Caenorhabditis elegans: one gene and its partners. The protein of the gene in region 1 purifies or fractionates together with the protein of each later gene. This does not show direct contact. Each region holds a gene or a part of one and is shown on either strand. Other genes may lie near its edges.

The links.
Region 2: the proteins of C34C12.6 (region 1) and lys-8 fractionate together in Caenorhabditis elegans (co-fractionation; one large-scale study listed by BioGRID). This does not show direct contact.
Region 3: the proteins of C34C12.6 (region 1) and ttbk-8.2 fractionate together in Caenorhabditis elegans (co-fractionation; one large-scale study listed by BioGRID). This does not show direct contact.

Annotation. Positions count from the first base shown.
Region 1 is NC_003281.10:3,480,739-3,485,480, forward strand, and holds C34C12.6 (CRAL-TRIO domain-containing protein C34C12.6), read left to right. Parts: upstream 1-1,852; 5' UTR 1,853-1,857; coding exon 1,858-2,238; intron 2,239-2,312; coding exon 2,313-2,477; intron 2,478-2,768; coding exon 2,769-2,830; intron 2,831-2,879; coding exon 2,880-3,061; intron 3,062-3,106; coding exon 3,107-3,357; intron 3,358-3,848; coding exon 3,849-4,010; 3' UTR 4,011-4,105; downstream 4,106-4,742. Other genes in the region: C34C12.7 (PAN/Apple domain-containing protein), read right to left, coding at 4,123-4,287, 4,364-4,543.
Region 2 is NC_003280.10:5,584,430-5,588,203, reverse strand, and holds lys-8 (LYSozyme), read right to left. Parts: upstream 2,027-3,774; 5' UTR 2,026-2,026; coding exon 1,775-2,025; intron 1,467-1,774; coding exon 1,190-1,466; intron 994-1,189; coding exon 661-993; 3' UTR 553-660; downstream 1-552. Other genes in the region: C17G10.13 (THAP-type domain-containing protein), read left to right, coding at 1-501.
Region 3 is NC_003282.8:5,630,075-5,633,913, forward strand, and holds ttbk-8.2 (non-specific serine/threonine protein kinase), read left to right. Parts: upstream 1-1,853; 5' UTR 1,854-1,906; coding exon 1,907-1,945; intron 1,946-1,993; coding exon 1,994-2,113; intron 2,114-2,271; exon of another isoform or gene 2,272-2,292; intron 2,293-2,433; coding exon 2,434-2,879; intron 2,880-2,925; coding exon 2,926-3,247; 3' UTR 3,248-3,305; downstream 3,306-3,839. Other genes in the region: srd-12 (G_PROTEIN_RECEP_F1_2 domain-containing protein), read right to left, coding at 1-165; srd-13 (G_PROTEIN_RECEP_F1_2 domain-containing protein), read right to left, coding at 3,744-3,839.

The DNA of each region.
Region 1 (4,742 bases):
GTATTTTAAAAAAACAAACACCACTTTTTTCGATGCACCATGTTTCAACCGATCCAATATACCATATTAAAAAAAAATGTTTGGCTTTTAAGCATTAAATCACCTGACTATAGATGCCTGCCTACAGATGCCTACCAACATTAAAGATTACCTAAGCCTATTCGGAGATAGGCGGTAGGCAGGTACGTAGGCATAAAGCCTGGCTGCCTACTTACTCATATGAATATATATAATTTGCAAAAAGACTTTCGTTCTCTAAATCTCGCCTCTTCAAAAACAGGAATCCGTGGACACGGATGACTACACATATATCTAAATAGTAACTTTTTGAGTGAAAAGATCTTTCAATTTCATCTTAATTTCTCCCTCACCCACCCTACCGCCTTCCCAAATGTTCCAATTTTCCCTCCCCCACACACTCACTGACCGGAATACTTTTCCCGAAGAAGATGGAAGGATTTGATAATTAGACACGCGCGCGTACAGGCAAAAGATGACACCTATTATCCACTTTTTATTCTATTCTTTCCGGATGTCATGGATCTCTTTTTGAAACAATTCACTTTTTGGAATTTTCATTGGACAAATTTTGAATTTTTTTTCTAATAGATTTTGTAATCTCGTAAAAGTCTTTCAAAAAGATTTGTTTTTTTTTAATTTTTTAAAAAAATATTTTTTCAGTTTTTATGTAGTTTTTCTTACAATTTCCAATTTTTCAAGATTTTTAAAAGAAAAATATTAATTTTTTATTTAAAAAAAATGTTTAATTTAAATTTAAACTTTTTAGACCCGATTTCATTTTTAATTTGAAAAATATTTATTTCCTCCAAAAACCAAAAAACTAGAAACTTTACAGGAATTTCTAGGAAAAAAATCATTATTCTGAAAAATTGTAAATTAAAAAGTATTTAGGATAACTCCAAAACCTGATCTTTTGAGTAGTATTTTCAAAATTTATGTGTAAAATTGATTTTTTTCCATCTTATTTTTTAATATTCTAATTTTTGGGTTTTATGTGGTTTTTTTTCAATGAAATATTAAATTTAAAATTTAATTTTTTCAATAAAATTGTTCAATTACAGAAATATTTGTTACTTATTGTGTTGCGTATGATGAAAATTCTACAAAAGTTTGGAAAATATCTGAACATATAAAAAAAGCTTTAAAAAAACCAAAAGAAAAATCTGGAAGAAAAATGATTTTTCTGAAAAAAAATTAGTTTAAAAATATTAAAAAGTGCTCAAAAACATATTAAGAAACAAATATTTTCTAATAAAATTTTAAATTTTAAAACAATTTTTTATATTTTAAGTCAAAGATGGTATAGTGTTCAATAATTCAAGATAACTTAGACTTTCATTCAAATTTCCCTCCTTCAGAATCCATTAAATTCCTTCGTCTCCTGTTTGCCTTTACATAAATTTCCATTACGTTTTCTTCTTCTTCCGTTAACATTTACCACCATTCCTTAACTGGAACCGGTTTCATTTCCTTTTTTATTCCCCCCCTGTTCCTGTTCCATTCAGAATATTTGTCGTGATTTTTGTCTTAAAATTTAGAAAATTGGAAATTAATTTGCCCATCAAACATGGTGCATTTAGTTGTGGACTCAATGCATTATATTTTATGAGAAAATGTGATAGTGTTAAGAACCTCCCCCCCCCCAAATTTTTTTAAATTTTCCTCTTTATGTTAAAATTATTCTAATTTTTCTATTTAAAACTTTTTTCTCTGGCTTCTTTCTGCTCTACAAACTCCAAGTAAAATATGGTGCATTGAGTTGCGGACCCGATGCACCATATCTTACGCGCAAATTTTAATTTTTTTTCCAACCTTTTTTCAATTTTTTCAGCAAAAATGGGCGCAAAAACCGAATTCCGATCATCCGAACCAATCACCGACTCGGAGCGTTCTCAAATCAATTCAGTGAGAGCAATGCTTCAGGAAAAGCTTCCAGATGGAATTCCAGATGATGTAAATACTGACCTAAACCTATGTCGTTGGATACGTGGATATCATGGGGATACAGAGAAGCTTGTCAAGAACTTTGCCACGTACTTGGCGTCCAGGAAGGCCGCCGGTTTCGTTGGCAATGATTTTGCGGAAAAGTTTTTCGAGCTACCAAGTATTGCTCCATTTCTACAATTTATTGCGTCATCAAGGCTTCAGGATAGACAATGGTCTGATGAGCATAATGCATTCTTGTTTGTGGAAAGAGCATGGTCACAGCCTAAGGAGGTAGGCGTGCCTGCTTTGTACCTACTGCCTAACGCCCGCGAACGCCTCTAAAAATTGACATATTGATTTTTCAGTTCATAAAAACGTTCAAAACAAGTGATTACCTACTTCATTGCTTCGGATACTCTGAAATGCTCCAGCAGCTCATTTTAAGACGGGAAAAGAAGCAGTCAGCTGATAAGGGACCCGTTCAATTTATTGTTATTTTCGATCTCAACACTGTTAATATTACGGATTATGTGGGTTTTTTGTTCTAAAAAATTCACAAAATATCAGTTATGGCCTCCAAAAATCGAGGAAAATTTAATTTTGAGTTTTGTGACGTCACACTTATTTTTATTGAAAATTTTTTAGATTCTAGAGTTGTCTGAAACGTGTTGGAAACTTCTGAAAGCTCGTTAAAATGTTAGAAAATTCTAAAACCTAAAATCTCCTGGAAACCTTTCTTTTGAAGATTTCAAAAACTGCTTGAGTTTTTTGGAAACTTCTGGAAACTTGGAAAAAATGAAATTTAATCTAGAAACTTTCAGGTGAACCCAATGTCGGGCTACATGAAGCTCTGGCAAATTCGAAGCGAGCTTTGGCAAGATTGGTTAGTTAACATTATGAACGGGCTAAAAATATAAAAAATACCAGTTCAGGTTCCCAGAAATGGTCCAACGAATCTATTTGACCAATCCACCACGGTTACTCGGGCTTCTGTGGAAAGTTGCTCGGGTTTTCTTGTCGGAGGAAAATTTGAAGAGGATTGAGATTATTTCCGATAAATCCGACTTGGCGGGGAAGTTCTTGCCGCCCTGGTTGGTGCCAAAGGAATATGGAGGTAGGCCAAAATAAGCCTGAGCCTAAGCCTACACCCGTTTTCCAGGCGAATTCGTGAATACAGTACCCCCAGGCGACGAGACGGGGGTCTCGGTCCGTCGAAAAATTACGTCTGCCGACTATTACAAGCCATATCAACACTACAAAGAGCACGGAATCGATCGTCCAAAGTCGAGTCACAAGGATGTTTCTCCGGCCGAAAAGTTCGTGTTCAAGATTCAAGTGCCAAACGGAAAGAAGCTTCTGTGGGACTTCACGGCTAGTGGAGAACTTCAATTTGCTATTTTTAGAGGCAATGTAAGTTTTTATATAGAACTATTGCTTTACAGTAACCATACAGTTCCCCTACAGTACTCCTACAGTGAATCTACAGGAAACTTACCGTAATCCTTGAGTAGCCTCACAGTATCTCTACGGTAGCTCTACAGTAAATATTTTGTAACCAGACTTTAACCCTGCAGTTTACAGTACCCCTACAGTACTCCTACAGTACCCTATCGTACTCCTACAGCACCCTACCATGATACTTACAGTAGTTCTACAGTAACCCTGTTGTAATTCGATTGTAGCCCTGCAGCAACCACGCAGTGCTCCTGCAGTAACCCTGCAGAAACACTACAGTACCCCAGCAGCTACGGTTAAAACAACACACACAACAGTAAGCCTACCGTAATTCTACAGTAACCTTATAGTGTTCTTACAGTAATCCCACATTAGCCCTACAGTAAACTACTGTACCCCACCGTACCCCAACAGCTACCCAACAGTAACATTTTTCCCATTTTTAGAACCGCAACGATCTCGTCTTCCCAAGTCTCCATCTCATCACCAACAAACTCAACGAAGAAGGAAGCCTGGACAATGTCTCGGATTCAGAAATTTCCTTCGAATTCCAGAACCTATCCGGATACTTCACGTTGAAGCTGGAGTACACTGTAGCTATTATTTGAAATTTTTTTTCGCCGACTCTGTGATAATATTGACTCCCCGTAATTTATTAATCTATGTATACATACTTTTAATAATTTTTTTAATACATACATTTATATATCTACAAGCTGGTTACAGAAAAAGAAAGACGACGAGAATGATGAGAAGACCCGTTGTGAATTTAAGCCCTGTTGAGGATGAAGTTCGTGTTGTTGATGAGTTTGAAGAAGCAGTTGCAAGACGAATTGACCCGCAATCCACTATTGTTTGAGTTGACTTTTCAACGACGACTATTGTCTAAAATTTTAAATTTTAGTTACCGGAGCCTGCCTGCCTACGTGCCTACTAGATAGGCAAACACCAAAATACCTACCTTGCTAATCACATTCTCTTCAAACCCATCGAAATCAATAACCTTCCATGGTTCAACTGCCATACCAGTATGATCTGTTTCTACGATCATCAGAGTCTTTCCCTCACCATTTACCCGCGATTTCCGGTGGCACTGACCACCTTTCTCTTTCGTGTCAGGCAGGAAATTGATCTCGTAGAGCTGAAAATTTATTTGATTTGCAAGAAACCCTACAGTACCCCCGTGATATCTACAGTAATCCTAATGTATTCTCACAGTGACCCTACAATAGCCCTATAGTAACTATGCAGCCCCTACAGTTTTCCAACAGTATCCCCCCAGTACTGCTACAATAGTCCCCCAACAATATACCTATAGTCCTCTACAGTACTCCTACATT
Region 2 (3,774 bases), on another chromosome or scaffold:
ACTGCTGTGAATGGAATTTTACCTAAATGTTTCCGACAGCCGAGAAAACAGAAACTTGAAGAAGATTCGTGTTCATCTTCAATTCTTCGAATTATCAAGAAAACCACACCCAGTCTTCCAAATAGATCATATACAATGATTAACCAAAACATGGAACATCCACTACAATGCTGCTACTGCTTGGAAGTGTACGAAAAGCGATACATGACGCAAGTTCCAAAAACCGAGCAACGAATTGCCAGATGGGTGGCAATATTAGGAGAACAATTCCGTATACGTCTTCGAATGAAACCTGCAAATTACATGTGTCGAAAACATTTCCCGCAAGCGGATTTCAGTTCTCGTGGACGACTTCTTAAAACAGCTGTTCCAAATGTTGTTTCCCAGGAGAAAGTACTGGCATTCAAGCTTGAAGGAAACACGTTCGTTGAAGTCAAAGAAGACAATACGAATATCAAAATGGAAAAGGGAACGGACTCGGAAATAGATATAGAAAATTAGAGCCAAGCTCGCATTGTTTTGTTGTTATTTGTTTTTAGATTCTCGTGTTTTGTTTTTTTGTAATAAACTTTATTTTCAGATTTTCATAACATATTGGGGGTACAGTTAGATACAAAATATAAGTAGTCAAATTCCACTTATTTTCGGAACTGATAAAATCTATTGACTTCCTTGAATGAATCCTCCAGCGTAGATCTTTCCATCCTCTTCAACAGCGTCAGCGGCCTTGAGCATAGTTCCAGCAGCATAAACATCTCTGTTGACAGTGAACTGGCAAACTTGCTCAACTTGAGCGAATTGTTTGACAGATGGAGTAGTCCAGCATCCGAACGCGCGGAAATCAGCAAAACTGGCCGGGGTCTCTCCATTGACACCACCTCCAAGGACATTCCAGTACCAGAGGAGAACATCATTTCCAATGCTGCTCCATCCGTTGGTGATCTGGTTCCAGTCGTAGTAGGAAGTGTAGATTCCGACAGTCATTCCATATTGCTGTAAATTATATGAATTTTGATATGAAATTTGTTGCAGAAGTATGAACTAATCGGTTCAGTTTAAAAACGTCTTAACCCAAAGGTCTTATCAGATTAATCAATGTTTTAGACTATAATACGAATCATTCGAGTTTTCGTATTTGAATGTATTTCAATTCCTTGAGCAAAAAATCAAGCTTCTACAGGAAACTTACTCTAGCTCTTGACACAATACTGTTGATAAAGTTGACATTGTTATTAGCATTGCTTGGCCAGTTGGTTGGAGAAGTGACCTGGATCCATACAGATCTGATTGTTATTCCTCTTGCAGTCAATCCTTGGTAGATCTCATCCAATTGTTGGTATCCTTGCTTGCTTGAAGCCGGCTGTGGAGTCATGTAGATCTCTGTTCCGAGTCCAGCGTTATACGCATTCTGAATAGTATTGCAGGAGTTGGTGTCGAAGGATCCTTGTCCAGCTGGGTTGTATGCACTGGAAATTCGATTTAATTGTTATGGAGTTTTAGAAAATGTTCATCAAATTATGAACGTTTGGAATCGAAAAATGAATTAATCAGAAACGAAAGCAGGCAAATGTTTGCCCAAGTTTGGCCAAAAATATTAAAAAGGTTCTGAAGTGACAATACATGACCAGAACTTGTTCTGGTTTAGCTCAAGTTTAATTCAACTGTTGACAATATCTTTACACTTGGGCCAACCTTGGGCAAAAAAAGATTCAACTTTTTTTTATAAATAACAATTTATAGATAGGTAAATCATAAAATCTTTTTCAATTCTTACCGGACAAAGACTGCCGAATAACCAGCTTGTTTGAGGCACTGAAGCTGGCTCAATGAAACTGGAACAGACAAATCAACAGCGAAAGCATATGAAGCCAAATTTGGTGGAACTCGTGGAGCAGCCTCAGCAATGACTTCTCTGAATTTGACTGGAAGAGATGAGTCAACGAATGGAAGGACCTTGACGGAGACTGAAGCCGAATGGCAAAGTACTGCCAGTACTGACAAAAGAGCCACTGATTTGAGAAGCATTCTAGAAAATGTTCAACTTGAATGAGTTAAGAGAAAATTATTAACAAAAAGAACAAAGAATAAGAAACCAAATTTTATAAAAATCAAATACTAAACCGAAATGTTGAAGAAACTGGAGTGGTTATCATGATTTATAGTCTTTATCAAAGAGCTGGCAAGTACCGCTTGTCCATCTGAATTTATAATTTCGGAAAACATTATCATGATATCACACTCTGTTATCAGTAACTGTGTACACACTTTTATGTCATTAATGTCGATGAAAAGAACATCACAAATTATGTGGAATACCGGTAATTGAGCGTGGGCGTTTTGATGATTTTTTCTAGGTTCAAATTCTCGTAAATGACAATTTGTTGTCTTTTATTAAATTGATAGTTCATAAGTGAACACAATTTTTTTCTGACTAACAGATAGTGGTAAGATTTTCAAAGCGATTATGCATATGTTTTACGTTCAACTTTGACCATAACAGCGAAGAAAATTGAAAGTTCTTGAAAACTAGAACTGTAAAATGTATGATATTCTCCTTCAGCACTATACCAATTCTTTTATACAAAAATCCCATTTGCAGCTGAATAAACATTCTCCTTCTTGTTCCATAATTTTTCCCATTTCACTATATTTTTACCGTTTAACATGTCTGTTTAAACTGTACTAACATCCAACGATAGCCCCTGTGAGCAATCCAATTGTTTAAAAATCATTAATCTATTTTTAATGTGAATTCAATTAGTCGAGATTTGTCTTTGGATGGAATAAAAACGAAGATGACGAGTTTAAGAAGTGATGTCATTTCCAGAGGAACAGAGAGTAAAGAATTCGAATTGTTGAAACAGCTGAAATTGTAGATCCATTTCGAGATCAATTTAGTATTTGATAATGAAAAGTGACGTGTCTGTCTATTCATTGAACAAATAACAAAAACGATAAATTTTAGTCCTGAAGCCAATTATTGGTATTTTCTAAAAACTTTGAAGATTTTTGATCCATTATTAATTTCAACTAATTCTTGGCCAAATTGTTGAATTCTTCAGTTAACGTATATTTACTTAACTTTAAAGTGGCTTCAATTATATCCAGGGACCTCTTTAGGCTCTCCTACCTACATTGGGTTTTCAGTATTTTAGTTTCCATCCGTACTTGCCTGCCACATGTCTACCTTCATGCCTGTCGTCGATGTTCTGTATTTCTTTCGTGATCCTACTGCCCGCCTGCCTGTCTATGTGCCTACCGCCTATTTCATTACTTTTAATATTATGCCACATTTTGATGTTCCAGATATCATATAGCTTGTTCTATATCCAATGTTCCTTTGAAAATTGAAAAATCAGAAATTCAATGATATCGTAAAAAAACGAATATATATTCTTTTTTAGCTTCTTCCTGTATTTACTTATGTTTTTTCCTTCTGAATACACACACATTTCTCTCTCACTTTATTATCATAAATCATCATAAAAAAATCATTGGTGACGTCAAAGTTTACATTTTTGGAGGTGCTGTGAAGAATTGTTGAAAGTCGAAGTTCTCGGTGTGATATGAAGACTTTGGAGGTTGTCGTTCAGCGATTTGATGCCAAGTGAAAGCGGATGTACGATGGAAAAACTGAAATGATAATTTGTGTAAATAAATAATATATTCAAAAAAAACTAACGCTCAACTCGACGAAAGCACTTTGAATTTCTCCGAGATGCAATATTTTGGCATTCACATACTTTTCCTTGATGAACTTCGAAATCGCTTGAG
Region 3 (3,839 bases), on another chromosome or scaffold:
AGCGAAGAAATCAGTTATTGCAAAGTTAACGATTAACGTGGCATATGACTTGATGACACGTGGAGTTTGGAACAGTGCCAAGTAGGCTAACAAGGCATTGAAACACATTCCAAGCACGGAAATTATGGCATGAGCACATGAGAAGAGAACAGCAAAATCAAACATGACTTTGATTTCTGAAAAAGAAAAAACGGTTTCAGGGTATTTATGTAATGGTTCGAGCTAATGTGGTTGACAATTTAAGAATCTTTTTTATATTGAGATACAAATACATTTCTTATTCAAAGAAAAAAAAATATTTAACTATAAAGTTTTGTACCCTGTCTGGGTATGCATTTAAAATGATTAATTGGAACGTACTACATAATGGATACAATTTTAAAATAAGGAAGTCTCATTTGTGTGATAAAAGTTCAAAACTTCTGAATATACTAACTAGAACACCTCCTTTCCTGGTTATTTTGTCAACCAAGTAAATAATAGAGTTCCGAAATCAAAAATCGTGTTTTGATTTTATGGAAGAATTGTATAGAACAATACGATTATTACTCTATTTATTCGAAATACGTGAGTTTTTAAATAAAAAACAAGAAAATGGAGATCAAAACTATTGAATTTATTCTAGTTTTCGAATATACTAGAGCATCAATTAACGGATTTTAAAAAAGCGAAATCGTCATTGGGGGATAAGTATGAACAAAAATTAGTACGCATTTAAATAGTTGCCGGAGCATGAAACTAGAAAATTCACGGAATTTGAATTTCAGCTACTTTTAGTCATTTCTGTAGATTTTCGCAAAATAATTATCTGAGCGGGCTAGGTTTTCCTAGCTTTTTCAATAAAAAAACAGCAAAAAATATATTGTAAACTTTAGTTTTTCGCCTTTGAAAAACAACGCATACCGAATAAAGAAGAACGAAAATTCTGGTTACTAAACCGTATAAAGTGAACTCTTGAAACTGTAAAAAATAAAAAATAAAAATTTTTTAACCAAATTTTTTAAAGCATGAAATAAAAAAGCTTCTAAAAATTATAGGTAAGTATAATCATTATATATTGCTTTTCTAATCCCATCCTCTATTGTTTTTATTCTCGATTGTTCTCCATTCGGTTCCACGCCTTCTCAATAAAATGATCGTTTATCTATATATTTCTCATTTTAGGTAATCTGTCATTCTTTAGGTAATCTGTCATTAGTGAGCGCATAAGCATTGTGCTTAATAGCTTTAGTCAGACCATTGTCTGATTTTTGACCTCTTAAAAAGAATTTCTTTGAAAATGATTCATAAAGCACTTTCAAATAAGGTGCTTAAACTTCAATTCTGAGTCACTTCTGCTAAAATTATATTTCAATAAATTGGAGACTGAAAGCATTATAAAAATAAATAAAAGTTATCCAAAAAGGGTTCAAAAATTACTGTAAGAAGAGCTTTGGTTTGTTATATCTGAACCTAAAAGTTTTGCATATCAAATGTTTGCATTTTTTCTTTTGCCTTTTCCGGTTTAAAATAAAAATAAAAAAATTGAAAACAAATAGGCGCATAAGCTTATACTCCGTTCTATAATAATAAGTATCATATGCTCTCCTTGGCCTTTGTAAGCGTAGAAAAAGAAACAAATCAGTTTTATGATTTTCATCTTTAACATTTTTTTTTTCAATTTTTAATGTCACGTTTTTTTTTAATTGATTAAAAAATTATCTCTTTAATTGCAACTTTATTGAAGATAATTTTTTCAAAAAAGTTTAAAACGTGGCCACCTCCGTGTCATTATCTTTGCTCCACATCTAAGCTCCGCCCAAACATCACCCCAGGGTAAAATCAGAAATTCAAAACCAACAATTCAATCCTTACAATTTTGGAGTTTCATTGAAAAACCAAACGGCTTGTCAGACGAACATTCAAGATGGCCCAAGAGCTCATTCAGCTTAATCCCGGACAACAGGTGAGTGAGAGAGTTCGCTGCGAGACCCGCGAATTTCAAAGCTTTCAGGTCGAGAGATGGAGCATCGAGAAGAAGTTGGGAGAAGGAGGATTCGGTGCGGTGTACCGTGTATTCGACGCAACCGGCAAATACGCGATGAAAGTGGAAGGAGCCAATGAGCAGATCCAGGTACATCACAGCACAATTGTTCATTTGAATTTTTTCTGCATTTTTGAGCAACAGTTTTTGTTTCTATCTTTCGGAATCTTTCGGTCATTCTTCTTAGAATCTTAGAATTGTTCGGTTTCAAGTTTCACTCTTACACTAGAGCGCAAATGAACCAACGCTCGAATAATTGTGAGTTCGACAGAGCGCATATGATGTGTGTTTCGTGTAGACCTATGTCCCATCCTAAGCCTAAGCCACATTTAAGCCTGTAGGAGCGCAATTTCTACATTTAAGCCTGTAGGAGCGCAATTTCTCACCTGAGACTTTAAGAATAATTTCAGGTGTTGAAACTGGAAGTTTCTGTGCTCAACGAGCTCTCAAAGCGTGGAAATCGTCATTTCTGTAAGATCGAGGACAAGGGACGCTTTGGAAACTTCAACTACGTCGTAATGACACTTGTCGGAAAATCGCTTCAAGATTTGAATAAAGCTGGGGTCGGTGGGCACATGTCGATGGGTTGCTCGATTGGAATCGGCATTCAATCGTTGGAGGCACTCGAGGATCTTCATAACATTGGATACCTTCATCGTGACGTCAAACCCGGAAATTACACGATTGGACGTCCCGAGTTGAACGAGATTCGCAAGGTCTACATTTTGGATTTTGGAATGTGCAGAAAGTTTACTGGGAATGATGGAACCATTAGAAAGCCACGCCAAGCTGCTGGTTTTCGTGGAACTGTCAAGTACGCTCCAATCAGTTGCCATCTTCAGAGAGAACTTTGCCGGTATGTGCTCAAGCCCAATCCCAAATCTAATTGACTCTAATTTCAGCAAGGACGACTTGGAGACCTGGATGTACATGCAGGTTGAACTGTCGCACGGAACAATTCCATGGCAACATATCTCTGACATGAACCAAGTTGGTCAGGCCAAACAAGCGATCCGTAACAACCTTGGGACCCTGTTCCCACCGCCATGCCCACAACAATTCCAGGATATTATGCGTATGGTTGATGCAATGAAATACTATGATGCACCCAACTATCAAGCAATATACGGAATGATGCGTCAAGCTTATGGTGCTTGCGGATCCAACGAGAATGCTCCGTACGATTGGGAAAATGGAGGACCAGCTGCTTACTTGCTCCACTAGAACATAGACTTGATATCGACTACTCCTTTTTTGTATTGAAATAAAAATGATTATGATGAAAAGTTTTCTGTTTTGTTATGTAACACAAATGATAGAAATTATGATAGGGTCCTGGCACAATCAAAAGTTTTTAGCTACCGTACCAGATACTTCATCTTGCTAAACTAGAGCTTCTATGCAGGCCCTCACCCGCCTGCCTCACCTGCGCCTTCTGAATAGTGTCCTGCTGAGCCCATAAGGTCTACCTATATGTATGCATCAAAACGAGAAGGCCTGCTTGAGGAGACAAGGCTCCAGGTTCCCAGCGTCTACTTCCCATGATTTTCATCATAAAATATTTGATTATGTTGGAAAGGCTAAATTTTTCTTGAACTTGTTTCGAGATATATTTGAATTTTAATTAATTTATTCCGATTTTTGTCTCATAACTGGCATATTGTTGTAAACAAATTTTTAAGCTATTTATACAATTTACAAAAACCTTTTTAAATGAATTTTACCCAGTATAAGCATTGCTAGTATAGATATTACGTGTTAAAGATGATTCTCCAGGTTCAACACGAGTCGTTTTGAAAAAGTAGTGCATGATAAA